Linked DNA regions of Pelodiscus sinensis. The protein of the gene in region 2 interacts with the protein of the main gene of each other region in a pairwise test. Links are inferred from orthologs where the notes say so. Each region holds a gene or a part of one and is shown on either strand. Other genes may lie near its edges.

The links.
Region 1: the proteins of NAB2 (region 2) and NEDD9 interact in binary tests that used the Homo sapiens proteins (3 or more experiments, as listed by UniProt). The two-hybrid records come from large-scale screens. The link is inferred for Pelodiscus sinensis from reciprocal best matches to the Homo sapiens genes NAB2 and NEDD9.

The regions. Positions count from the first base shown.
Region 1 is NC_134712.1:110,152,717-110,164,591, reverse strand, and holds the start of NEDD9 (enhancer of filamentation 1), read right to left. Parts: upstream 4,706-11,875; 5' UTR 4,136-4,705; coding exon 4,124-4,135; intron 1-4,123. UniProt on the Homo sapiens protein: Scaffolding protein which plays a central coordinating role for tyrosine-kinase-based signaling related to cell adhesion. As a focal adhesion protein, plays a role in embryonic fibroblast migration.
Region 2 is NC_134729.1:3,394,139-3,406,932, reverse strand, and holds the start of NAB2 (NGFI-A-binding protein 2), read left to right. Parts: upstream 1-6,826; 5' UTR 6,827-6,996; coding exon 6,997-7,060; intron 7,061-9,477; coding exon 9,478-10,280; intron 10,281-10,666; coding exon 10,667-10,800; intron 10,801-11,236; coding exon 11,237-11,288; intron 11,289-11,634; coding exon 11,635-11,767; intron 11,768-11,939; coding exon 11,940-12,140; intron 12,141-12,784; coding exon 12,785-12,794. UniProt on the Homo sapiens protein: Acts as a transcriptional repressor for zinc finger transcription factors EGR1 and EGR2. Isoform 2 lacks repression ability.

The DNA.
Region 1 (11,875 bases), on a different chromosome or scaffold from region 2:
GCAGCACCTGATTACATTTTCATTTCCCTAGAGAAAAGTTTTAGTAATGGAGACTTTGTCCTCAGAATCATAGGTGGTTTGGATTCAGCAATTAAGAATTCAGTCTTTTGAAGTATATAATATCAAGATTCTATGGGAAGTAATATGGCATAGATGGATGAAAAAGAACTTGAGGTATGCCACAATACCATCATAATGTAATGGCATTTATATTTGAGAGAATCTTTCATACAAAATTACAAAACATTTCAGTCAATATGCAAATATATACAACACAGCTTGCAATATATCATGAAGTACACTTGATAGAACACAGGTGAAAGGTATAAGGGAAGGTGAGTCTAATTAAATATTGGGAAACTAGGAGACTAATCATGGAGAACTGATTGAGATTTTTCTTCTATGCTTCTCTATCTACCCTACTGTCCAATTTAACTGAATTTGACTCAGGGCATGGAGTGGAGAATGGCAAAAAGAGGGGAAAAAAATTAGTGAAATCATGGCCTTATTAAAGTCAGTAGGAGTTTTACCACTGGCTTCAGTGAGGAAGTGGGGAGCAGAATTTCACCCCTGTTATTTTGTTCTCCATCTTGTTTCTCAAACAAGTTTAGGTCAAAAGAACAGTGAGCAAGGTGAGCAAATCCTTTTTTTTCAGTACCAGTCTGTTGGAGGAAGATGAGTGAGTGAAGTCCTTCCATCACTACCAAGCAACACTCCACATGGCGTATAATCATTGTCTCAGTCACCTCAATAAACAGAAGCTTCAGGGGGTAGCCCAGTTAGTCTATAAAGTGCTACCAGACCATTTGTTGTTGGGTTTTTTCTGTAACAGACTAACAAAACATGTAGATGGGATTATGAGCTTTTGCATCAGAAGAAGTGGGCTATGCCCACGAAAGCTCATGATACTGTCTACATGTTTTGTTAGTCTATAAAGTGCTGTTTTTTTTCAATGAACAAGACTCTTCTAATGTACAGGTAAGTTTAACACACACACAAACCCACCTGTCACCACTTACTGCATTTTGAAAACTACAGGAAGCTGTTTGTGAAACCAAGTCCACTTTATGCCTGGCATAAACACAACCTGTACACACACTTTCAAATCAAAAATTAAAATATTAATGTTTGTACTGTTTATCTTCTTCTCCCTAAAATAAGCAATGAGCAAACAGATAAAAATATAAAATAAAATATATAGTCACATTAGGAAAAATTGTACAAGAAGGTAAAATGTATTTTCTTTGTAGTTTTCCCCAATATCTGAGAAATAGATCTCAGGATATTTGTCCTGGATAAACTGTTCAAATAAATACTCCAAACTTCCCATGAAATGTAAACACGTAGTCTGGCAGGAAGGTTTGTAGAGACCAAAAACCTTCTGTCTTTTTTTTTTTTTTAATAGTTTATTCTTTTTCTTTGTCTAGCCTGCTCCATCTAGATTGAATTACGTAATCCCCTTCCAAACCAAAGCCTTCAAACTAGACAGGAAAGGAACATTATAGAACTGGGAAGATTTCTGTTGTGGAAGTGGCTTATTTCAGTCTCTCAGTGCCTTGTGGCTAGTGTGAAATATGATCTCCTCACTGCTGTAGAGTTGTTTTTTTGGCAATGTGCAAGGGAGGGGAGGGAAGGGGAGGGTAGCAAAAAATTATAAGGAGTTGTATAACTGTGTAGGTCTGTCATTTTTTAAGTCACTATAGCTCATCATTTGTGAGAGGAAAATGTGTTTAATTAGTTAAAGATTAATGTTAACACGACAATTTCTACTAAGTGAAGCAGCAATTTCAGTGCATTCCTTATTTTGTTACATTATTTATCCATGTTCCCTCTGTGTGACTATTTCTCTAAAGCAGTATCAAATAATGATGGACCTGAACTATAAAGTTTAGGGGTATTTGTATCAGTGGTTTTGGCTCAGCCTATTACAACACAGAGCCAGCCATAGAGTTCAGATCTGAATTGGGAAGTTCTGAGAGTCGTTCTAGGTCATGTAAGACCCCCATCACTACGGTATCTGAATGCCACAGATGGAATCTGGGGTTCAGCTAATGATACAAATGAGAGATGGCCATGAAGTCTAGATCTAAATCTAAATTCTCCTAAAGACTGTGAGTGTTCAATTTCTTGAGAGTTTAGATTGAGCTCATCCTGAATAACAAATAAGAACACACACAGCTAAAAGTGAGTGAGAGTTTACATGTGTTATAGCTAGTATTTATTTGTATTCTGGTAGCTTTGGGAGGTTCCACTCTATAGGTTCTTAAACCACACTAATCACTTCCAGATTAGGGCTCCATGGTGCTAGGTATGGTACATATACAACAAAAAGATCTAAAAGAGCTTGCAGTCTGTGTGAATGTGTGTGATTTTTGTAATTCACCTTTGTATTGAACTTAATGAGGTTTTTTTTGGTGTGTGTGTGTGTGTGTGTGTGTGTGTGTGGCAGGGGGAATCAAAATATTCTTTTCCTCCCTCTTTCTGCAGTCACACAAGATTACTATATGTCTATACGTTAGTCTAATGCATCAATCCAGTACTCTGCCCAGATATTTATAATTTGTGTACCACTATGATTGATATATACATCAGTGCTTGATGTTTCTGTCTTTAAGTGGGTTGGTTGATTTGTTAAAGAGTGGAGAGAGGAACATGGTTCTAATTTCCAAATATATAATTGGTTTCTTGCTCCTAGCTAATTAAAACAAACCACGTTTAAAAAAAGCTTGTTCACATAAAACATTTGTTAAAGTGTAGAAAACAGGCTGATTATTTCATAGGGGGAAAACAACAATTTCTATGTTTATAAACAGTGCTGGATAATAATGCTGAACGTCACTTAGAAAGGGGTGGTGTGTGTGTGTGTGGGGGGGGGGTGTGTGTAAATATACACATTTTACATTTGAGGACACACGCACATATACATACACATGCACATTTTACATCCATCAATGTAAATGTCCTTGAGTATTCCAGTGAAACTCTGAAGTTGCTGCAATTATTATGCTGGTGCAAATGAAAGGAGAATTTTAGTCACTTGTTCAGATATGTATAGTACTGTACTTGCATCAAAAACAGTTATAGGAAAGTACATTCGATTTTGAAATCAAACCTAATTTAAAAAAGAGAATCTTTTCCCAGGTGTTCTCTCTATACTATACACTTTATTTTCCATTTAAGGGATCTTATTCTCCTGTCATTTGCACCACCGTGAATCTGGAGTAACTTCCCTTAACTTTAGTGCAATCAATTCAGTTTTTACACTGGAATATGAGGGATCAGAATTTGGTCCAGTAAATTCATGCGGAATCTTACCACATGCTGACTGAGTTAAGTTTTTTTCCCCCCTAGCCGCTCCTTTTCTAGATTATACTTTCATAATCTATGAGAAAACGGTCTTGCTTTTGGAAACAAAGTACCTACCAGTTAATATACTTAAACAACAATAAAAGGTCTGATAGCACTTTATAGACTAACAAAACATGTAGATGGTATCATGAGCTTTTGTGGGTACAGCCCACTTCTTCAGATGACTGGAGTTAAGTAAATATTTTGCCACCGATGAATGCAAGAAGCATTTTTACCAGGATTCATCAGAACTTTAACCTAATGCATGTATTACTCATGGTAGGTGTACCAGGCTTTCTACTACAAGCTCATTTTATTTTCAGACTAGACCAACTGCCCCGCAATTTTTTTTTCCCATTCAGAGCCCCAATATTAAGGATCTCAGAAAATGGTATGTAGAATTTTGGAAGATCTCCTTGAAACACACATGGCAAAGTCATTCACAACAGGAGGAGAGACTGAGACTGCCTTCGGATGAATCCAAAAATAAGCGAGTCTGAGATTTAGAAGCTGTGCTTTTCCATCTACGTTGAGCCACTGCTCTATCTGTAGTAGTTGCAGGAAAATGAGCTGGGAGTTTGCTTAGGGACAATCTGAAAAGAGTCTAAAAACTAGACAGAATTTAGGGTATTCAAGCAAAGTGCTCTATATCCATCGGATTTTGCACTGCGAGGAAACTGTCACTCAGAAGCCTTTTGGAACTGAAGATGTTAATGGCTCCCACCCCACATATATTTAATTAGAAAATTCCTTCAAAGAAACCCCTTTTCCTTACCTTATACTTCATATTTGCAGGCTTATATGGAGTAGTCTTGTACAACTAGACAAAACACATTGAGAGCGCAGGTTTTTTCCCACCCATTTAATGCCTTGCTGAACGAAACAAATATTCCCAGAATTGCAGTTGGTTTGCCAGGCTAATGTGAGAGTTCTTGGTACTGCAAAGTTCCCAGTGTCTCTGAGCTCACGTTGGACTTGTGGGAGGCAGGCTACTGAACTTCATTTGCATACATCCCAGCTATTGGCTAAGAGGGCAGAATTCCTGGGAGAAGGTAGCACGGATCCCAGCCACTCCTCAACTTTTTTTTTCCAAACTCCCCTTCTAACAAAAAACACTTAACACGAGAGTCTTCCGCGAAAGGAGAGGAGGGGGCGTGTGAGAGATTGAGGGTGAAATCTTTGAAAGATTAGCTTCGTGTTTTTGTTTTTTTTTAAAGAAATCGACTCACAAAACAAGTTCCGACAATCCCGTTTCCTGTGACCTAGCAACTCCTTCAATTTCATTTCAAAGCCATTCACCTCACAATCTCCACATGAAATGGACTGTGGGAACAAAAGCCTTTTTGTCTACAGTACTCTCTTTCCTCACCACCCCTGCTGATATCTTTTCTTGGTCGCTGTTGTGTTTTCTGGGTTCTTTTCAAGGTTCAAAGTGCTCTGGCTGTCAGATTGAAAGAAGCCCCTAAAATATTCTGTCGGACATGGCAGAGATTTGACACTAAAATTTACTCACACATGTACTCGGAACCTACACAGTTATTATAATGATCAAAATGTTCAGGGTGTTTTCCAGACAGAATAAAATGCATATGTTATTTAGATACAATATATATCTGGCAGCCACTCTTAGCTTAGATTAATGTTTAATATTAAATCTGTGCGCTCTCATGCTGCTTTTCCCCTCTCCTGTCAGCACTAATGCTCTAGAAGCGCACACTTGTATCTTTGTATTTTGAACAGCGAGGTTTTTCATTCCCGTTTTCCTGCTTAGTGAGATGGTCTGTTAACGGGCCAGTCATTATCTCTGGAATCAAAACGCTAAGTGTTCGCTTTGCATGGGAAAGGATTGTTATTTACATATTGATTAGACACGGGAGGGCAAGTTGGCTTTAATGTTCGCTGAGCCTGGTTTATACAGTGACCCGGGCATAATCAGTGGAGTTGGGTAGTAATTCCTTTGTGCTTGCTTGGAGGCCGGCAGTGCTTAATTTGTAATGGAAGAGGTGCTGGGCTGCAAGCAATTAGGTGACATGGCTTAAGAAGCTATTTATTTATTTATTTTTACTTTCATAACTGATTTGGACAGCCCAGAGGTACTGGGGCTGGGAAGTGCCAAGCCTAGGGACTAGCAATCCCTGACTCAAATTAAACTCTTAGGGCAGGACAGAGGAGTGAAGAAAATATGACTTAATAGTGCCATGCTCTGTAACTGGAAATGCCTCATCGGTCTTGGTGAACTCAGTCCAGAGACCAGCAATCCTTGAGGGAAGAACTCCACCTAAATTACCTGACCTGGAAAGACACTTTATAAAAAAAAAAAAAAAAAAAAAAACACTTCTGACCCATTTGGATTTCAGCTGAAATTCTAGGTCACAGATGGACTAGGACTGCTTCTAGTGGTCTAAGAAAAAAGAGGAAGAGAGTGTCTTCCATTGTGGAAATATAAAGATGACTCCATTTCCACAATGTGATAGAACCTGAGTAGTTTTCATGAGACTCAGCCTAGAGTAGCAAAGTCTCATTAAGCTTTTCATTATGCATGGAAAACATAATATTGTATGTCTGTCTGTCTCCATCCAGTGGCTTAGGCGGAGGAAGGTTTTTGCCTTCCCAAACTGCCAGCCTGGCCTCCTCCACACTCCACCCCCAGAATGGTTGCTTTAGGTGTTCTGGGGGCGGAGTGTTGCTGCCCCCAGTGTCCTCCCTCCCCATTGCTCCAAGGAAGCTGGGGTGCACATGCTCTTCCTCTCCCTATGGTGGAGGTGGGGCTTCAGCAGAGTAGACAGGGCTGTAGGTAGGGCTGGGGGCCTGCCTCCTGCAGCCCCAGCTGCACGGATCACCCATGTCTATCTGCTATATATCTGAGAGAGTTCATTTGTCTCTGAGAGTTCATTTGTTCAAGAGTTCCTCCTAAACAGTAAGGCTGTGTCTACACTGGCAAGTTATTCCGGAAAATCAGCCGCTTTTCTGGAAAAACTTGCCAGCTGTCTACACTGGCCACTTGAATTTCCGGGAAAGCACTCATGAGCTAATGTAAAATCATCAGTGCTTTTCTGGAAAAACTGTGCTGCTCCCATTTGGGCAAAAGTCTTTTTCCGGAAAACTGTTCCGGAAAAGGGCCAGTGTAGACAGCACAGTAGTGTTTTCCGCAAAAAAGCCCCGATCGCGAAAATGACGATCGGGGCTTTTTTGCGGAAAAGCGCGTCTAGAATGGCCACGGACGCTTTTCTGCAAAAAGTGCTTTTCCGGAAAAGCGTCCTGCCAATCTAGATGCGCTTTTTCCGAAAATGCTTTTAACGGAAAACTTTTCTGTTAAAAGCATTTCCAGAAAATCATGCCAGTGTAGACATAGCCTAAGAGGCAGGATCACCAAATTTGGTAGGCAGTTTCTTCTTATAACTTAAAGCAAGATCAGGGTTTGGTTGTGCCAGGACAATGGGATGTGCTGGAATGGGATTGCTTCTCAGAAAACCATACAGATAAGAGACAGAATCACCAGGCAGGTGAAAGGGACTGTCTGGGGGTTCCCTTCCCCTCCCCCCATTCATGACTGCCCGTCCCTGAGCTTCCCATCTCCCAGGCATCCTTTTAGGAGGGTGATGGAGGAGCTTAAGAGTCCCCCTGCTCTCCTCCCCCCAATTCATATAGTAATACTACTGGCTGTTTCCCTTCATCACAGAGGGACAGGAAAATGCAGTTTGCTGCATTCCAGGGGAGTGCAGGGGCGGGGGAGGGGGCGTACAAACTTGGACCCGCTCCAGCTGGGGGACATGCACCCTCCCCTGGCTCTGCCCACTGGAACTGCAGTGGCCATAGAGAGGTGCTTCTCAGCTGGTCACAAGCTGCTGTGGTGAGAATAGGCTGGTGCAGTCCTCTCTCCCTTCATACTGAACCCCTCATTCCCAGCCCCACCCTGAGCAATGATTTAAAGAAAAAACAAAAATCATTTGAAGACCTGAGCACAGCTGGGTACATCCTCTGGTTGTCCTAAACAGTACTTACATATACAGTGTAGCATTGTTGCAGAGAAGAGTATACTTCATTGTGTTAATTAAATGGTTTCCAATTTGCTTATTTACAAAGGATCTCATCCTACAATTGACTCTCTACCAGCACAATTGCAGGACTCAGACTATAAATTCACAAATTTCAGTAATCCACAAGAGGTGAACTAATCATTAATGAGGACTAGTGAGTTTCTGCTGTGTGTTCCAGTAAAGATATTTTAGAATCCTACCATGTTGCATTGTAATTGGGCTTATGGTATACAGTAGTACTCTGACACAACATTGCTTGGACTTCTGGTTTTGTTGCTTTGTTTATTCCTTGAAAGTTTTCAGAGAAATACTGTAGTGTGAATTAGTTTAGATGTGGAACAGTTATGCCATGTCAATTTACAAAATACTGACATGTTCAACAATTACCATGTGACATTGCTGTGGATGTTATGTGGAATTTATTCCTAATGGTTAATAAAACATCAAGAGCACTTACCCTGCTGAAGCGATTCTAACTAAAATTGTTTCTGCACTCACATAAATTAGAGCAAACAGCCAAGGATCTTTTTTTTTTTTTTTAATTGGATGGATAAATGAATCCCATAGACCTAGTGTAACTGCAGTGAAAGTCTGAGTGTCTTTTGTTTTGTGAGTCTTAACTCCTCTGATCTTTCTGCTTGACTCTCCGTGGCTTTTGAGAGGATATAAATGCTTCCTTCTTGGATACTCTCCTAAAGGAGGAAGGGTAATTGGGGAATTAATCTGAGATTTGGGAATTCCAGGTTCAATTCTTTGTTCCACCAGAGACTCCCTGTGTGGCCTTGGGCAAGCCTCTCTGTCCCTCAGTTTTCTCATCTACAATATGGGTATAATAATCTTTCCTCACAGGCATATTATGAGTATAAATACATTTCATTGTGAGACACCTAGGGATACTACACTAATAGGGACAAGTTAAGTACTTCAAATGCATAGACCTGTGTTACTGGCTTTTTCTAAACTCCTACCCACAATGTATCTGTTTCTCTATTGACACACCAATAATAATTGTAGCAGCATGCAAATGGTGCTTTTCATGTTGAAAGCACTTTACGGTCAGTGAGAACTAAACACTTGCAGGTTGTCAGATCTTTATGCATTGTGTATGAAGATTTATATCATGTTTATTTTAAATGTCCACTTTAAAGTGTCATTTTTAATGTATTCCCTACATATATGGTAATGGAAACTTTGCGTCAAAGGCAAAAAACAAGGAAGCAGTATATTAGTATGCATAGTGTGTATTAAAAGAGCTTGTATGCACTCTGCTAGAATGAAATTTTGGGGGTGTAAAAACCTCAAAGTCCATGTAGCCAACAATACTGAATGGGAGCTTGTAATCGTTATACTTAATTTTTTTTTAAAAGAAACACATGCATAAAGGAAAGCTGGATTTAAAAACTCAGTGGTCCCCCCACTACAGGAAAGCAGTATCTTATTGCTCTGTATTTTCAGACATGCTTTCCCTCTCTCTGGTGTACTCCATTTACCGTCTCAGGTTTGCTCTGAGGTTTGAGGTGGCTTTTACTTTTCCCAAGGGTGAAATGCTCCATCTTAAAGCAACACTGGTACCGCAGTCTGCAATACAGCAAAGTTTCCCCAACACAACAGCAATGTCAGAAATTAGATACAACTTGAAAGGGGCGTTAGTAAATGTGATCCTCTAACCCTGACACACTGCTGAAAAAAATCAGACCAAACTTTAGTTAGTACAGCTACTTAGCTTTTTCTTAATGACCTTGCAGATTGTAATGTCTTCACTGCATAATATTATATTACAAGCATAGTTTTGGAAAATTTTAACTCGATTGTCTTGGCAGACCAGCAACGTTATTCACTGTAACATGCTTATGAGACAAAACCCTGGCTTTATCAGGGTCAATAGAGTGGAGCCAATTTGCACTGTCAGGCCTGCATTTTTATATTTACAGAGCCCTATTTAAATTCTTAGGAGGGCGACCTATAGAAAGTGACCATTGAATCCGTTCTTCAGAGCACAGTCAATGGGCCTGATTGTTGCTACACTGCCAACTGTAGTGGAGAATAAATCCTATTCCTTCATTTGTGTCTGCATCCTTGTGTCTCTCTCTTCTTGAGTGCCAAATATGGTAGCCAGGTATTTACTGAATGGCATCCAGGAAGCAAGAGCCCTGTCAATGTCAGAGCTAGAACAGCTGAGTGTCAGGAAGGTTAGAGTGAATAGACTACATGGTCCATGACAAGCAGTCTGAATAACAGCTGTGAAAGAAGCAGGTCAGCCAGGGAGACTGGCAGGGCCTGTTGAAGCAAATCAGCAAAGAACAATCTCCCAATACAATTGATGGGAGAGGACCAGCAGATCATTTTAGAGGTAACTTAAACAAGCAAAAATATGCAAGTAGTTCCCGGATCCTTGTGCCCCCTTTGCCATGGGAAGCTAGAGAGAAACTAGGGTCTGCAGAAAGCCCTTTTGAGAGGCTGATGTCATTGTATGTGCACTGAGCTACCCTTCATCTGCACAAAGCCTGTCCATCAGACAGCATTACGTAACAGCAAGTAACATCTGCACCCTGTGCGACCTTGTTAGTGGGTTTAAGGATTTGGCTTACAATGAACATGGATATAGTGGCCCTGCATTTCACTGTGAAAATTATAGTTCTGATTGTATGGCAGATATCTACAGATGGGGCCTGATTCTTTAGGCTCTAGGCAAAGCACACCACCTTTGGCATAAGAAGTTGGTCTCTTGCCTTCCACCATTAGATATCCCTTCCACCATTTTGGCTGTGGATGGCACTTTGATCCATTAGATAAATTTGTTACTGTTTTTTATGAGGAAAATAACAAAAAAAATACTCTAGCCTGAGTAACCCCTTATTTCCCTCTTCTGTGCAGAACAGAGAGTCTGCAGAGAGGTTCCTTTATGCTGAAATGAAACTAAGACAAAGATTTTTTTATTTCCACCCAAGAAACTAAACTATTTGAGGGAAATTCACCAAGTAATTAGTGTTTCAGCAAAGCGTGCACAGAAAAATTCTCCCTTTTGGCCAATGATGGGATTTTCCCCCCGTCCTCCCACTCATCGCTAGTAATGGACAGACAGACATAAACAATTCATTACATAAAACTGCTATGAGAACCTGTCTTGCTAGAAGAGTTATGAGCAGTGGTTTCCTGTAAAGGCCAAGTTCATATGCAAAGATCAAATTAGGAGGAATATTAAGTTCCCGAAGTCATGTTTTCTTCTAGTTAAAGGATTATTTATTATCATTGTACTACAATTCAGGCTGGCTTGTCTTATTTTAGAACAGTCTGATTCCTAAAATAAATGAAATCATCTCCTTGACATCCCACATCCTGTCATTTAAAAAAAAAAAAAAAGACCAAAAAGCTGCTATCTCAAATTCTCAACAGAGGGCTTTTCATGTAGAGGTTTTTCCAGGACACCCTCATTTAATGTCCCAAACCACCCCTCAACACCATTCTTGGGGACCCCCCCACCAGAGGGATAATGCAGCTTTCTTCAGTTCGACAGTGTTGCTTCAAAAGGCAATGGAAACACAAAGGTTTCCTACCCAGAGGCCAGCCCTATTAGCCTGAGGAGTGTTGGAAGAAGGTTGGAACAGGAGCATTTCAGCATGGCTCTGAAACCAAGGGTCTGGTCCAAAGAAAAGTATCTAAATGACAAGTGAACCAACCTGGGTAAATGCATTTCCTTTTCTGAATCTTCATTCATTTTTACACTCAAATTCAGATCCAGCTGTGGGGGCATGGATTCTCTAGTCATAGATAAGTTAGTGACTGCTCATGTTGCCTCTTTCCTGATTCTGGCCAGTGCCTCTGTTGCTTCCTCCTCCAAACAGAAATCATTTCTTGCAGGATGTTACTGAGCAGAAACAGGTCTTAGGCTCCAAAAATGTGTCCCAGAATCTTGGCATTGGTTTCAGGGATGTGCTGTTGTGGCTGGCACATGGAGTTCTAATACATCTCTCCACACCCAAATAAACAGAATTTGCAATACCTCCTGGGAGAAGTATCTCCAAACCTAGAAAGAGGTGATCAGGACTGGTCTGTAACTGGGTGATCAGAACAGTCTGAGTGCGGTCCAGCGGAGACTCAAGTGGGGTCCTGCAGGCAGCTGCTTATCTAGCCTACAATTAGGGCCACCCAGTCAAGCTTACACTTACTCCAGTCAAGTGAATCCTTTGAAATCCAGAAGTGCCATATTTGTTCAGAATTGGAATGACTAGAAATCTTTGAAAGAACAGCTTTTCTTTCAAGACTAGCCAATTAGCCCATCATAAGGCGGGATTTTCAGGTCTCTCCCCCACGTCAGTCATTTTTCCTGAGCCTCCGGTGTCTCACTGCTTCTCTCTCTCTCTCTTTCTCTTCTCCTCCCCCTCCTGCCTCTCACTAGGGGACTGTGGAGCCCAAATGGCCTTTTGGGCTCTGCACTCCCCGTGCTGCATGGGGAGCGCGGAGCCTAAACGGTCGCTCGCACCACTTGCTCC
Region 2 (12,794 bases):
CCGGCGCTGCCATGAATCATCCACTCCGTGCAGCCTCCCCCGGGCTGCAGGCAGCACCGATCCGGGGCTGCCATCGTGAGGCACCGTGGCACTTGGCACAGGGCCCTGGGGTTTGTTACCTACCCTAGCAAGGGCCGGGCGGTGCTTATTGTGTGCCAGCCCCACTTGGGCTGGCTGTTCCTAGCCCTGCGGCATCAGTGATGGATGTCAAAATATTGCTTGAGCTCCTCCACCCCCTTTCGTTGCAAAATAAGCAATTCACAAGCCTTTTCCCTGCCTGAAATATAAACCCCGGGGCTTTTCTCGAAGGGCCATTCCCCTAAGCCAAGGGGTGGCACGGACGGCGGGTGCACAGCATGGGCGTTGCCCCCCTCTCTCGCCTCCTCTCTGCTCCAGTTGCCACTGCGCTTTGGGCTCCTGGCCGTCACCTACCAGGGGAGGAGGAACGAGTGGGTGCACAGGCCTTTTTCACGGGGGGCGGGAGAGGAGACGGTTGAAATTAGCAAGGGGGCCCACCAACCCCTGGCAGGGGCACCTCCAAGGGAGCAGACGGGCATTACCTCTGGCCACCCCCATTCCAGATCCAGGGAGAGACGGTCACTGCCCCCAAAGCATTTACCACTGACAAAGGGGCTGCGTGTGTGTGTGGGAGGAAACTGAGTCACAGAGGTGGGGGAAGGCGTTTGGCCAAGGTGTGTGGAGCAAGGAGCAGAGTGTTGTATCCATTACGCCATGTGGCCGGTCCATCCGATCAGCGTTACGTCTCTTGGCCTTTGTTTTATTTTGATCCAGGATGTAATTCCTAATACATGAAGTTCTCCCACTTCATCCCCCTCCCAAATAAACTCCCACATTTTGTCCCCAAATTGCTGCATCTGCTGGTGAAATGGACCCCTCTGGAAAGTGGGGCAGGCAGTAAGTTTGGACAGGAATCAATCTCCCAGCATTGAGATGCAGCCACTTCTGGGGTGGAGCATGGTACCTTCCTATATAGGGATCTTCTCCCCCCTCCCCCCCCCCCCCCAGTGCTGGGAGGCAGCCACCTCTGGATTGCAGTATGGCAGCTGTTTGTAAGGGGACCCAGGACTGAAATGCAGTTGCCCTTATTTGGGGGGGGGGGGAGGAGAGATGCAGCAGCTGGCAGCCCAGGCAAGAAGGCTGGGCTTGGAGGAGGGAGTGTGTGTGTATGGGGGGGGGGGGACATACATGGAAAATGAAAGAACGGAGGGGGAGGGCAGCCCCCAGTAGCTCCACAGAGGGGGGAGGCAGATTCTTGGCGATCCTGCTGCTCCCAACCCCCGCCCGGGACTTTAATGCCAAATATTTTCTTGCTGAGGGAACTGGCAGGGCTGTGCCCACTTGCTGCCCACAGTGCAGCCACTGCGGGGGCTCACAGCTTACCAGGGACAGAACGCAGGAGTCCTGAACCTCCTACTCCCTGCCCCCCAGCCCCAGAGCTGGGAACTGAACGCAGGGGTCCAGACATTTGGTTTCCTGCTCTAACCAGTGAACCCTGCTCCCCTCCCAGAGCCAGGACTCCTGGGTTCCCCTCTCCAGAGGCAGGAGGGGAGTGTCACCCAGTGGTTAGAGAAGGGGGGGCTGGGAGCCAGGGCTCCTGGGTTCCCTTCTCCAGAGACAGGAGGGGAGTGTCACCCAGTGGTTAGAGAAGGGGGGGCTGGGAGCCAGGACTTCCGGGTTCCCTTCTCCAGAGACAGGAGGGGAGTGTCACCCAGTGGTTAGAGAAGGGGGGGCTGGGAGCCAGGACTCCTGGGTTCCCTTCTCCAGAGACAGGAGGGGAGTGTGGCCCAGTGGTTAGAGAAGGGGGGGCTGGGAGCCAGGACTCCTGGGTTCCCCTCTCCAGAGGCAGGAGGGGAGTGTCACCCAGTGGTTAGAGAAGGGGGGGCTGGGAGCCAGGACTCCTGGGTTCCCTTCTCCAGAGACAGGAGGGGAGTGTCACCCAGTGGTTAGAGAAGGGGGGGCTGGGAGCCAGGGCTCCTGGGTTCCCTTCTCCAGAGACAGGAGGGGAGTGTGGCCCAGTGGTTAGAGAAGGGGGGGCTGGGAGCCAGGGCTTCCGGGTTCCCTCCCCAGCTGCAGGAGGGGAGTGTGGCCCAGTGGTGGGAGCAGGAGGCAGCTGCGTGCCGCAGGGGAGCGCAGCGGGAACGGCTGGCGGGCTGCAGGGGCCGCTGGGCACCCCCCCTCCTCAGCTGGGCCCGGCCCGTGGGCGGCTGCCGGGCTCTAGCGGAGCCAGCTCCGGCCGCGTGGGCGGGGGATGTGCGTCAGCGAGGGGGCGAGCAGCACGTGGGGCCGGGCCAGTGAATTCCAGCCCGGCCAGCCCCAAATAGCTCCTGGAGCGGGGCGGCGGCCTTTGATCCTCACGTCGTTCTGGGGGGCCAGAGCCCCGCATCCCTCGGGGGCCCCGATTGCACATCCTTGGGGGGCCAGAGCCCCACATCCCGTGGGGGCCCCGATTGCACATTCTTAGGGGGCCAGAGCCCCACATCCCGCGGGGGCCCCGATTGCACATCCTTGGGGGGCCAGAACCCCACATCCCTCGGGGACCCCGATTGCACATCCTTGGGGGGCCAGAACTCCAGATCACTCCGGGGGAGCGCGATTCCACATCGCTTGGGGGGGCTAGAACCCCACATCTAACACCTCCCAGCCCCATGCAGCTGCCCTGATCCCCGCGGGGTGGGGAAGAGATGGACTCACGTGGGGGACTAGATCCTTTCACACCCCAATCTTTACAGCCCCCAGGGGGCACCCTGAGCCCCACATTGTGACAAGGGCCTGGAGCAGCTTGGACCCCACTGCCCAGGATGCGTTGGACCATGCCCAGCGCAGGAGGAGTGTGGGTGGGGAGGGGTCTAGGGAGATAGGGTGGCAGGGAATGGCAGCCAGGAATCCTGGGTGTTCTCTCCAGCCCTCCCCACATTTACTGGGCCTGTGCTAGGGCTGGCAGGGGGCTGCGGGTTGGGAGTGGGGGGCACCGGCGGAGTGGGGGATGGGGAGCCCAGAGATGGGCTGGCAGGGGGCTGTGGGTTGGGAGTGGGGGGCACCGGCGGAGTGGGGGATGGGGAGCCCAGAGAGAGGCTGGCAGGGGGCTGCGGTTTGGGAGTGGGGGGCACCGGCGGAGTGGGGGATGGGGAACCCAGAGAGGCTGGCAGGGGGCTGCAGGTTGGGAGTGGGGGGCACCGGCGGAGTGGGGGATGGGGAGCCCAGAGAGGCTGGCAGGGGGCTGCGGGGTACATGGAGCTGCCGGGAGTCACACCGTTAGTCCATACATGTCCATGTGCCCACGTGTCACACACAACCCCTCCAGGGCCCTCGCCATCCATCCCCCGCCAGTTCCAGCTCCGCCTGCGCCCGGCAGAGGCCCTGGGGAGCTGGGACCAGCAGGAGATGCTGCTCCTGAGGCATGACGTGAGTGGGTGGATTTGAGCACCCGCCAGGCAGTCCGGCCCTGCCATCTCACAGAGCCACCAGCCTGCGCCAGGGACCCGAGTGGGGCTATGAATAGCTGCCGGAGCGTGGCTGAATGAGCCACGTGGGTGCAGTGGAGCAAGGGGGTAGGGGTGGGGGATGGGCAGGGGTGGACAGAGGGCTGTGCAGGAGGGGAGAGGGAGGAATGGGGAGGGGGCATGGCTGGGGGGGGGGCGGATATTTCCTCTCTCTCAGCACCAGGAAGGGGAAGGAAAGGCCGCAGGGACCATCAGCTCTTCGGCCACCCAGCACCCATCCCTGATTCCCGATTTGCCCCCGGGGCAGCCGTGGCCTGCGACTTCACACAAGCTCCCTGCCGCCCAGCTCCTTCCTGCAGCAATGGCCAGGGACCCTACCGCAGCCCTGCTGTGGGGGGCGGCATGATGTTCTTTGGGGGAAGAAAGAAACTTCAACCCACGAGGAGTGGAGGAGGGGCCTGCAGGGAAGGGCAGCCAGGACAGGGGTGCAAATGGAGACCCCAAGGAGTTACCAACGAACTAGGGGCGAGATCCCCAGCCTCTGGGAAGTGACGTCGCTTCGGCATCGCCAACTGCAATGGAGCAGACTGACCCGGCCTCACTGATCCCGACGGGGATGCGGCCCCACACCAGCCAGGATCCAGACCCACTGACCCCGACAGGGCTACGGCCCGTCCACGCTGGCTCCATCCCAGTATTCTGGGAGAACCAGATTCTCCCCCCACCTGCCAAGGAGGCTGCAGACCCCAGAAGCAGCTGAGATGCAGGGAACAGAACCAGGCAGAGCCCTTTCAGAGCTGAGCTATTCCCACGGACTACAAGGGGGTGCCCTGGGGGAGGAGTGAGACAGAGCAGAACAGGACTCATTGGCTCCCTGCCCCGGGAGTCAGCGTGTGCACCCATGCACCAGGAACATGGCGCCCCAAGCTGCTGTACTTGTGAGTCTGCCTTCGTTTGGAACAAATCCCCAATTTCAAGCCAAACCACCATTCGACATCCCGCCATTACCCACAGCATCTGCCGACTGGCACCAGCCATTTGGCTCTGGGTGGGAGTGTTGACTCTGAAACCTAACGATGGCCATGAAAACATCCTCATTTGCTAGCAGGTGCTTAGATGCGGCTGAGACTGAGCAATGCCCTAAAAGTGCCCCATGTCATTGCTATGCTGGGGGCATAGGTTCCCCCGTATCTTCACCCCACCCCTCAAATTAGCTCACATGCCCCCCAGATAAGGGGGGCCCTGGACATCCAGCTGTTGCCATCCGCGCTGGGCCTAGCTACACGTGTGCTTCCAAGGGCCCTGTGTTAACCACATCAATGCCTAGATGATGCTCAGGGTTACTATAGCAACCAGGGATGCGCATGAACCGAAGCTTTCCCACAACACCGGTCCAGTCCCAGAGCCACTTTCTCTGTCACCGAGCCACCAAGCAGGGGCAACTGGGAAGGGACGAGGCCTTGTGCCCCTCTTGGCTGCACCAGCACCACACACATAGGGACAACGGGGCCCGGGCCCCCCTCCAGCCCCACACAGGGGCCCCTCCGGCCTGTGGCAAATGGCAGGCCCGGCCAGAGCACAGTGCATTGTGGGTATTCTCTGCATCCCAGGGGCATGGGGAGAGGGGCGTAAGTGAGAGCAGCCGGGAGGTTGATCTAATGGATGTCAGGGGCCCCGAACGTCTAATGGGGGAGGAGGGGTTGGGTCCTGTGCTAGGCTCCTGCCTCCTACCTCCCCCTCACAGGCACCTGCTCCCATCTCGGGACACCTCCCCTCCCGCCGCAAAGGGAAGGAGGGGGCAGAAACAATCCACACCGTGACCTCTCTGCTACCAAGATGAATCACTTCTCCCTCCGCCCCCGCAAAGCCCAGAGCCCACACGGCACATGTGGGCTGCGCCGAGGGCCCGGCCAGGCCCCTGCTCCTCCTCCCCGCTTCTGAACCTGGGGCTGTCCACACAAAAGGCGCTGTGGGGGGGGGGGGGGGGGGCTTGGCTGGCAGCAACAGAAGGCTTTTATCCGTCTAGCCGGGACAGCAGCCACAGGGGGATGGGACACGGGGTACCCAGCAGGATGCATGGGAGGGGACAGGCTCTGGCAATGGCACCCCAGCCATGAAGGGGTTCTTCTCACGGGGGGGGGGAAGCGATATATAGGGGGGATGCTGCACTGCGTACCAGGCTAAGACTGAGCCCCAGCTTTGAGCCCGTTGGTGGGGGGGCCTAGGCACTGCCCAGGCCCCCCCACCCCACCTGGGTATTGAGGGGTATGAGAGGGGAGCCGCAACCCTTCTCCCCTATGTCCCTTCCTCTGTGCCCCCCCTCCTCCCCCTGTGTTCCCCCCAGCCCGCACCCTTCTCCCCTATGTCCCTTCCTCTGTGCCCCCCCTCCTCCCCCTGTGTTCCCCTCAGCCCGCACCCTTCTCCCCTATGTCCCTTCCTCTGTGCCCTCCCTCCTCCCCGTCTCCTCCCCCGGGCCCCATCCCCCGCGCCCTCCCTCTTCCCCCTGCGCTCCGCCTGGCCCACACCCTCCTCCCCTCAGCCCCCCAGCCCACACCCTCGTCCCCCTGCACCCTCCCAGCCCGCACCCTTCTCCCCTATGTCCCTTCCTCCGCGCCCTCCCTCTTCCCCCTGCGCTCGGCCCGGCCTGCACCCTCCTCCCCCTGCACACCCCAGCCCGCACCCTCCTCCCCCTGGGTCCCCCCCAGCCCGCACCCTCCTCCCCCTGCGCCCCCCAGCCCGCACCCTCCTCCCCTGCCCCCCCCAGCCCGCACCCTCCTTCCCCTGCGCCCCCCAGCCCGCACCCTCCTCCCCTGCCCCCCCCAGCCCGCACCCTCCTCCCCCTGCGCCCCCCAGCCCGCACCCTCCTCCCCTGCCCCCCCCAGCCCGCACCCTCCTTCCCCTGCGCCCCCCAGCCCGCACCCTCCTCCCCTGCCCCCCCCAGCCCGCACCCTCCTTCCCCTGCGCCCCCCAGCCCGCACTCTCCTCCCCTGCCCCCCCCAGCCCGCACCCTCCTCCCCCTGGGTCCCCCCCAGCCCGCACCCTTCTTCCCCTGGGCCCCATCCCCCGCGCCTCCCTCTTCCCCTTGGGCCCTCCACTCTCCCTGCGCCCCTTCCCTCCGGACTCCTCCCCCTGGGATCCCCCCCTTCATCCGTCCCCCGCCCCCTCTCCCTTCCCCCCGGGGCGCCCACTCCCCCTGCGCCCTTTCCCCCACACCCGCCCTCTTCCCCCTGCGCTCCCCCCGGCCTGCGCCCCGCGCCCCCCGCTTCCGACCCCTCGGCCGATCGGCCCGGCCCGCTCCGGGGGCCGGCGGAGGGAGGCGCCGCTGGGTCCCGCCCCCGGAGCCTCCCACGCGCCGCGCCGCGCAGCCGGGCGCTGCTATTTCTCTGTAAATCGCGTGTGGGCGGCGCGCAGAGCGCAGCGGCGGAGGCAGCGAGCGAGCGAGCGGCCGGTGCCGAGCCGGGAGCGCGGCGCGATCCAGCCGGTCCGGGGCAGCGGGGACCCCGGAGAGCCCCCGCCCGGCCCCCCGCCGCCGTCCATGCCCGGGCGAGGCGCCGCGGAGCTGGGAGCGAGAGCGGCCGGGCGCAGCTCCAGCCAGGCCAGTAAGCGAGGGGGGGCTGGCACATGGGGGCGGGGGCTGGCGCGGGGTGGGGCCTGGCAGGGGGGAGCCGGGGGCGGGGGGCTGGAAGTGGGGTTGGCACGGGAGGGGGGGGGTGCTGGCTGGCGCTGGGGGGCAGGCACAGGATAATTTCGGGTATTGAGGAGTGGGGGAGGGGCAGTGCTGGGGGCACAGGGGGCAGGAAGAGGGGCAGGAGGTGAGCTGGGGGGGGGTCGGTCTGGTCCTGGGGAGGGAAGCTTGGGTAGGAGCTGGTCAGAGTGCCACTGGGCTTGGGGGAGGGGCTAGTTGACCAGCAAAGTCAGAGCAGAGCTGGGGGGGGGGGGGTCTCGGGACTGTACCCCCCCCCCCCCCAACACACTGCTCAGAGCGTCTTGCTGGGATGTGGGCCTGGGGGGATGGGAATAAGGCACCTGAGCAGGGATCTGGGATGCTGGGGAAAGTGGATGGGGGAGGGGCTGGGGTCTTCTTCCTTCCCCATTCAGGGATGGAGCTGCCATGTACCCCCAGCACCCCTGTCTGGGGGGGGGGGCATTGCCACACAGACATTTCCGGGGGAGGGGGCAGAGGCTGGGTGCGGGGATGTCTCTTGGTTGAAGGAGAAAGACCCTCCAGATTGCGTGGGAGTGGGGCTGGCCAGGGGGCTGTGGAGAGGGGTGATCAGTGGATCAGGCTCTCCAAGCTGGTTGCCAACTGCCCCGGCTCCTTGGGGTGCTGGCACCCGGGGGGGGGGCGGCATTCTCGCCATCTGGAGCCATGTGTATCTCAGGTCCCAGTGGCACTGAGAAAAGCAGGATTCTCTCTGAGGACATGGGGCACTGCCCCTTAGCGAGAGCCCTCTGCAAAAATACTGGGGGGGGGGGGCTGGATGGCACTGGGAGAGTGTGAAGGAGGTACTGGGTGCAGTTGGGGGGGACACTGGTAGGGTGCAGTGTGGAATCCAGTGAGGGGAGGCTGCTGCCCGCAGTGCAGGAAGGTGAGGGTGCTAGGCGCAGGGTGGGAGGACTGGCGGGGTGCAGTGCAGAGTGCAGCAGGGATTGCAACCATGCAGTGCGGGGAGGCTCGGGTGCTAGGTGTAGGGTGGGAAAATTGGGCAGGTGCAGTGCAGAGGGGAACGGGCAAGCTGGTGGAGAACAGTGCAGCGTGACGAGGAGGGTTGCAGCAAGTCAGTGCAGGAAGGTTAGGGTGCTAGGTACAGTGCAGAGAAGTTGGTTGGGTGCAGTGGGAAGGGGTAGGGTTTAGAGCCATGCAGTGCAGGGAGGTTGGTAGAGTGCAGTGGGAAGTTGCTTCCCTGTAGTGCAAGGAGGTGAGGATGCTGGATGCAGACCTGGGAAGCTGGTGGACGTGGGGGGGAGGGTGCAACGGGTTTGGGGGGGGGATGCAGTGTGGAATGCAGTGGAGGGTTACAGCCACGAACCATGAAGAGGTGAGGGAAAGAATATTGGTGGGGTGCAATGCAGAAAGCAGTGGGGAATTGGAGCCGTGCAGTGCAGGGAGGTGAGGGTGCTAGGCGCGGGGTGGGAGGACTGGCAGGGTGCAGTGCAGAAAGCAGTGGGGGATTGCACCATGCAGTGTAGAGAGGTGAGGGTGCTAGGTGCAGGATGGAAAAATTGGGCAGGTGCAGTGTAGGGAGCAGTGCGGGATTGCACCATGCAGTGCAGAGAGGCGAGGGTGCTAGGCGCAGGGCGGGAAGATTGGGCGGGTGCAGTGCAGAGTGCAGTGCGGGATTGCAGCCATGCAGTGCAGGGAGGCAAGGGTGGGAGAATTGGCGGGGTGCAGTGCAGAATGCAGTGGGGGATTGCGGCCATGCAGTGCAGGGAGGCGAGGGTGGGAGAATTGGCGGGGTGCAGTGCAGAGCGCAGTGGGGGATTGCGGCCATGCAGCGCAGGGAGGCGAGGGTGGGAGAACTGGCGGGGTGCAGTGCAGAGTGCAGTGGGGGATTGCGGCCATGCAGCACAGGGAGGCGAGGGTGGGAGAATTGGCGGGGTGCAGTGCAGAATGCAGTGTGGGATTGCAGCCATGCAGCGCAGGGAGGCGAGGGTGGGAGAATCGGCAGGGTGCAGTGCAGAATGCAGTGTGGGATTGCAGCCATGCAGTGCAGGGAGGCGAGGGTGGGAGAATTGGCGGGGTGCAGTGCAGAGCGCAGTGGGGGATTGCGGCCATGCAGCGCAGGGAGGCGAGGGTGGGAGAATCGGCGGGGTGCAGTGCGGGGTGCAGTGCAGAATGCAGTGTGGGATTGCAGCCATGCAGTGCAGGGAGGCGAGGGTGGAGGAATTGGCGGGGTGCAGTGCAGAGCGCAGTGGGGGATTGCGGCCAGGCAGTGCGGGGAAGCGGCCGCTGGTTCTCCGCTCGCCTCCCCCCATCGCCCTGCTCTGGCCCTGATGTCCCCTCTTCCCCTCACAGGCCTGCCCCTCGCCATGGCCCTGCCCCGCACCCTGGGCGAGCTGCAGCTGTACCGCGTGCTGCAGCGAGCGAACCTGCTCTCCTACTACGAGACCTTCATCCAGCAGGGCGGGGATGACGTGCAGCAGCTGTGCGAGGCGGGCGAGGAGGAGTTCCTGGAGATCATGGCGCTGGTGGGCATGGCCACCAAGCCCCTGCACGTCCGGCGCCTGCAGAAGGCCCTGAGGGAGTGGGCCTCCAACCCCGGCCTCTTCAGCCAGCCCATGGCCTCCCTGCCCGTCAGCAGCATCCCCCTCTTCAAGATCTCCGAGAGCGGGGGGCGCAAGTCGCTCAGCAACGGGCACGCCAGCCCCGGGGAGGCCCCGGGGAAAGGGGGCGCTGGGCTGGCCACGCCGCCCGCCCGCAGCCCCTCGGAGCTGGGGGAGAAGCTGTCCCCTCTCTCGGCCCCCCAGTGGCCGGGGCGCAGCACCCCGGAGTTGGAGGGGGGCGGGGCGGAGGAGGACGGGGGGCCGCCCCCTTTCTCGCCGGGGGGCGGGGAGCCGGCGCCGGAGCAGCTGGACCCGGAGCTGGCGCGGACGGTGGCGGAGGGTGTGGAGCGGCTGCTGCAGAGCTGCCCGCGGGGGGGCGAGGCCGAGCTCCGGGCCCTCATGAAGCTCAACAAGAAGCTGGCCAAGGCGGTGGGGCACATCTTCCAGCTGGAGGAGGGCGACCGGCGCCGGGAGGAGGAGATCCGGCGGCACAGCGCCATCTACGGGCGGGGCGAGGCCCGGCGCCGCGACGGCAAGCCCCTCACGCTGCACGAGGTGAGCCACGGGGGGGGGAACAGGGGGGCCCTCGCCCCGTTCCCCAGAATGCAGCCACCTCTGGGGTGGGACGGCGCAGCTGATGGGTGGCGGTGAGAGCGGGGGGTGGGAGGCAGGTTGGGAGCCTGGGTTCTATTCCTGCCCCTGCCCCCCTTGCTGCCCCTCCCTGGATCCTTCCTTGTACCTTTTTCCCATCGGCCCCCAGTTCCCAGCTCTGCCCCTCACCCCGGCATTGAGGCTCCTCGGGGGCCTCCCTGCCGACTCGTCTCCTTCCCAGCCTAATGCTGGGCTCCACCCCCTAGGGGGGATCGGCTCCACCCCCTAGGGGGGATCGGCTCCACCCCCTCCCGCTAACAGCCTCGTCTCCGCCCCTCCCCGCCCCCCAGCTGACTATCAACGAGGCGGCTGCGCAGTTCTGCTTGCGGGACCACACGCTGCTGCTGCGTCGCGTGGAGCTCTTCTCCCTGTCGCGCCAGGTGGCCCGGGAGAGCACCTACCTGTCCTCGCTCAAGGGAGCCAGGTGAGCCGGGCTCCTCCCCGCCCCGGGAAATCCCTCCTGCGGGATCCAGGCTGGGGCATCCCTCGGCAGAGCAGGGGGCGGGCAGGGAGGTGCAGAGGGGAGGAGCGCGGGGGTGGAAAGTGGGGGGGGGGGGGCGGGCAGTGGGAGGAGGAACTGGGCATGGGGTGGGGGGGGAGTCAGGCTGTCGGGAGACTCCTGCCCCCGCGGAGCTGCCCTGCCCCTTCCATCTGCCCCTCAGCCGCCTTTCCCCGCGGGGGACTTTCTGCTCCTGTCGAGCCAGCCGCCCCCCCGGCCCTGCCCCTCCAGCGCTGCCTGGCTCTGTCCCCACCCGGGGTGCGACCGGCAGCCAAGCCGGAGCAGCATCTTAGCCGCCTGGCTCCTCCTGCCCCGAGGAAGGCCCCGCGGGCGGCCCCTGATACCGACCTGTTTCCCGCAGGTCGCACCCGGACGAGAGTGGCGCCGCGCAGCCCAAGAGGCTGAAGCAGGAGGTGGGTGCTGGGTGCGGGGGGGGAGGGGACATGCCTGTGCCGCGGGGTGCAGCTGAGCGGGGCCGATGCCGGCTCTGGGGGCGCGGGCGCAGCAGTGGAGCAGCAAGAGCGACTGCCCCGGCGGGGTGTCTCCCCCGCCTTAGCCACGGCCCCCCAGGCTCCAAGCCAGCCCCAATAGCCAGGGCTCTCTGCGCGGAGCCAGCAGTGGGGGGGGGGGGGGGGGGCCTGGCACCTGTGCCCACCTGGGGAGGGGTCCGGCTGAATCCCATCCTGGGCCTGCGGGCCCGGCGGTGCTGTCTATGCTCTGCCCCATCCCGCCCCCCCTAATCCCCCGCTCGCCCTGCAGGTGGGTGAGCAGAGCCGCCCCGAACCCCTGCAGCTGCCGGGGGGCTCGGAGGCCTACGCGCCCCCCTACAGAGCCAGTCTGGACGAGGACGCGGCCAGCCTGTCTGGAGAGAGCCTGGACGGGCACCTGCAGGGTGAGTGGGGAGCATCGGGGGGAGGAACACGGACCCCCCCCTTCTGCCTTGCATTATGGGGGGGGAGGCTGCTTGTGCTCCCACCCCCATAGCTGCCCTGGGGGGGGCAGAGATCCCTGGGACTTGCCTCATATCTCCCCCCCCCGGCCACTGACACTCACTCTCTCGACAGCTGTGAGCACCTGCCCCCGCCTCACGCCACCCCCCAGCGCCGCCCCCGACCTGCCCCTCAGCCTGCCCCCCCACGGGCTCTGGAGCCGCCACATCCTGCAGCAGACGCTGATGGACGAGGGGCTGCGCCTGGCCCGGCTGGTATCCCACGAACGTGGCGGGCATCTCAGCCCCTGCCTGCCAGGCAAGTCCCCAGGCCCAGGTGAGCTGCCCCTGTGGGGTGGGAAGGGGGTCACGGGGCCAGGGCAGGCTCCGGAGGGGGGTGGGGCCTGAAGGGGGATGAGTCAGCCTTGCCCACACGGCGTTCCCCGCACCCAGCTCAGGCTAGACGGCCGGGAGAGACCAGGTGTGCTATGGCCTGGGGGGCAGGAGTGGGGGGCACCGGCAGGGCCGGGGGGCGGGAGTGGGGAGCTGGAGCCTGGGCCCAGCTCTGTGCTTTGCTCTTAGTCTCCCCAGTTACTGAATGGAAAAAAGACGCTGTGGTGGAAATTCCCCCCCCTGCCCCCGCCCCCCACGCAGGGGAGGAAGGAAGTGGGGGCGGCGGGGGCAGGCGGGGGCGGGTGACGTCCTGGGAATCCCACTGAGTCTGGCGGGAGGGGGGGGGGGTTTCTCCTGAGAAGGCAGCTCTGTCAGAGTCAAGGGGGGGGTAGGACAGGCCTGCGGGAGTCGGACGCTGGGGGGGGGGTGACTGGCCAGGGCCCAGCTCGCTACCCTGCAGGCTCCCCCCCCCCCAGCCAGCAGGTGCTCCCATGGGGCTCCCCCAGGGCCAGCCTGCTGCTAGGAGCAGTCGGGGGGGGGGGGGCGGGGGAGCTCCGCCGGGCTGACCTCGCCTCCGTCTCCCTGCAGAGTTCGAGGA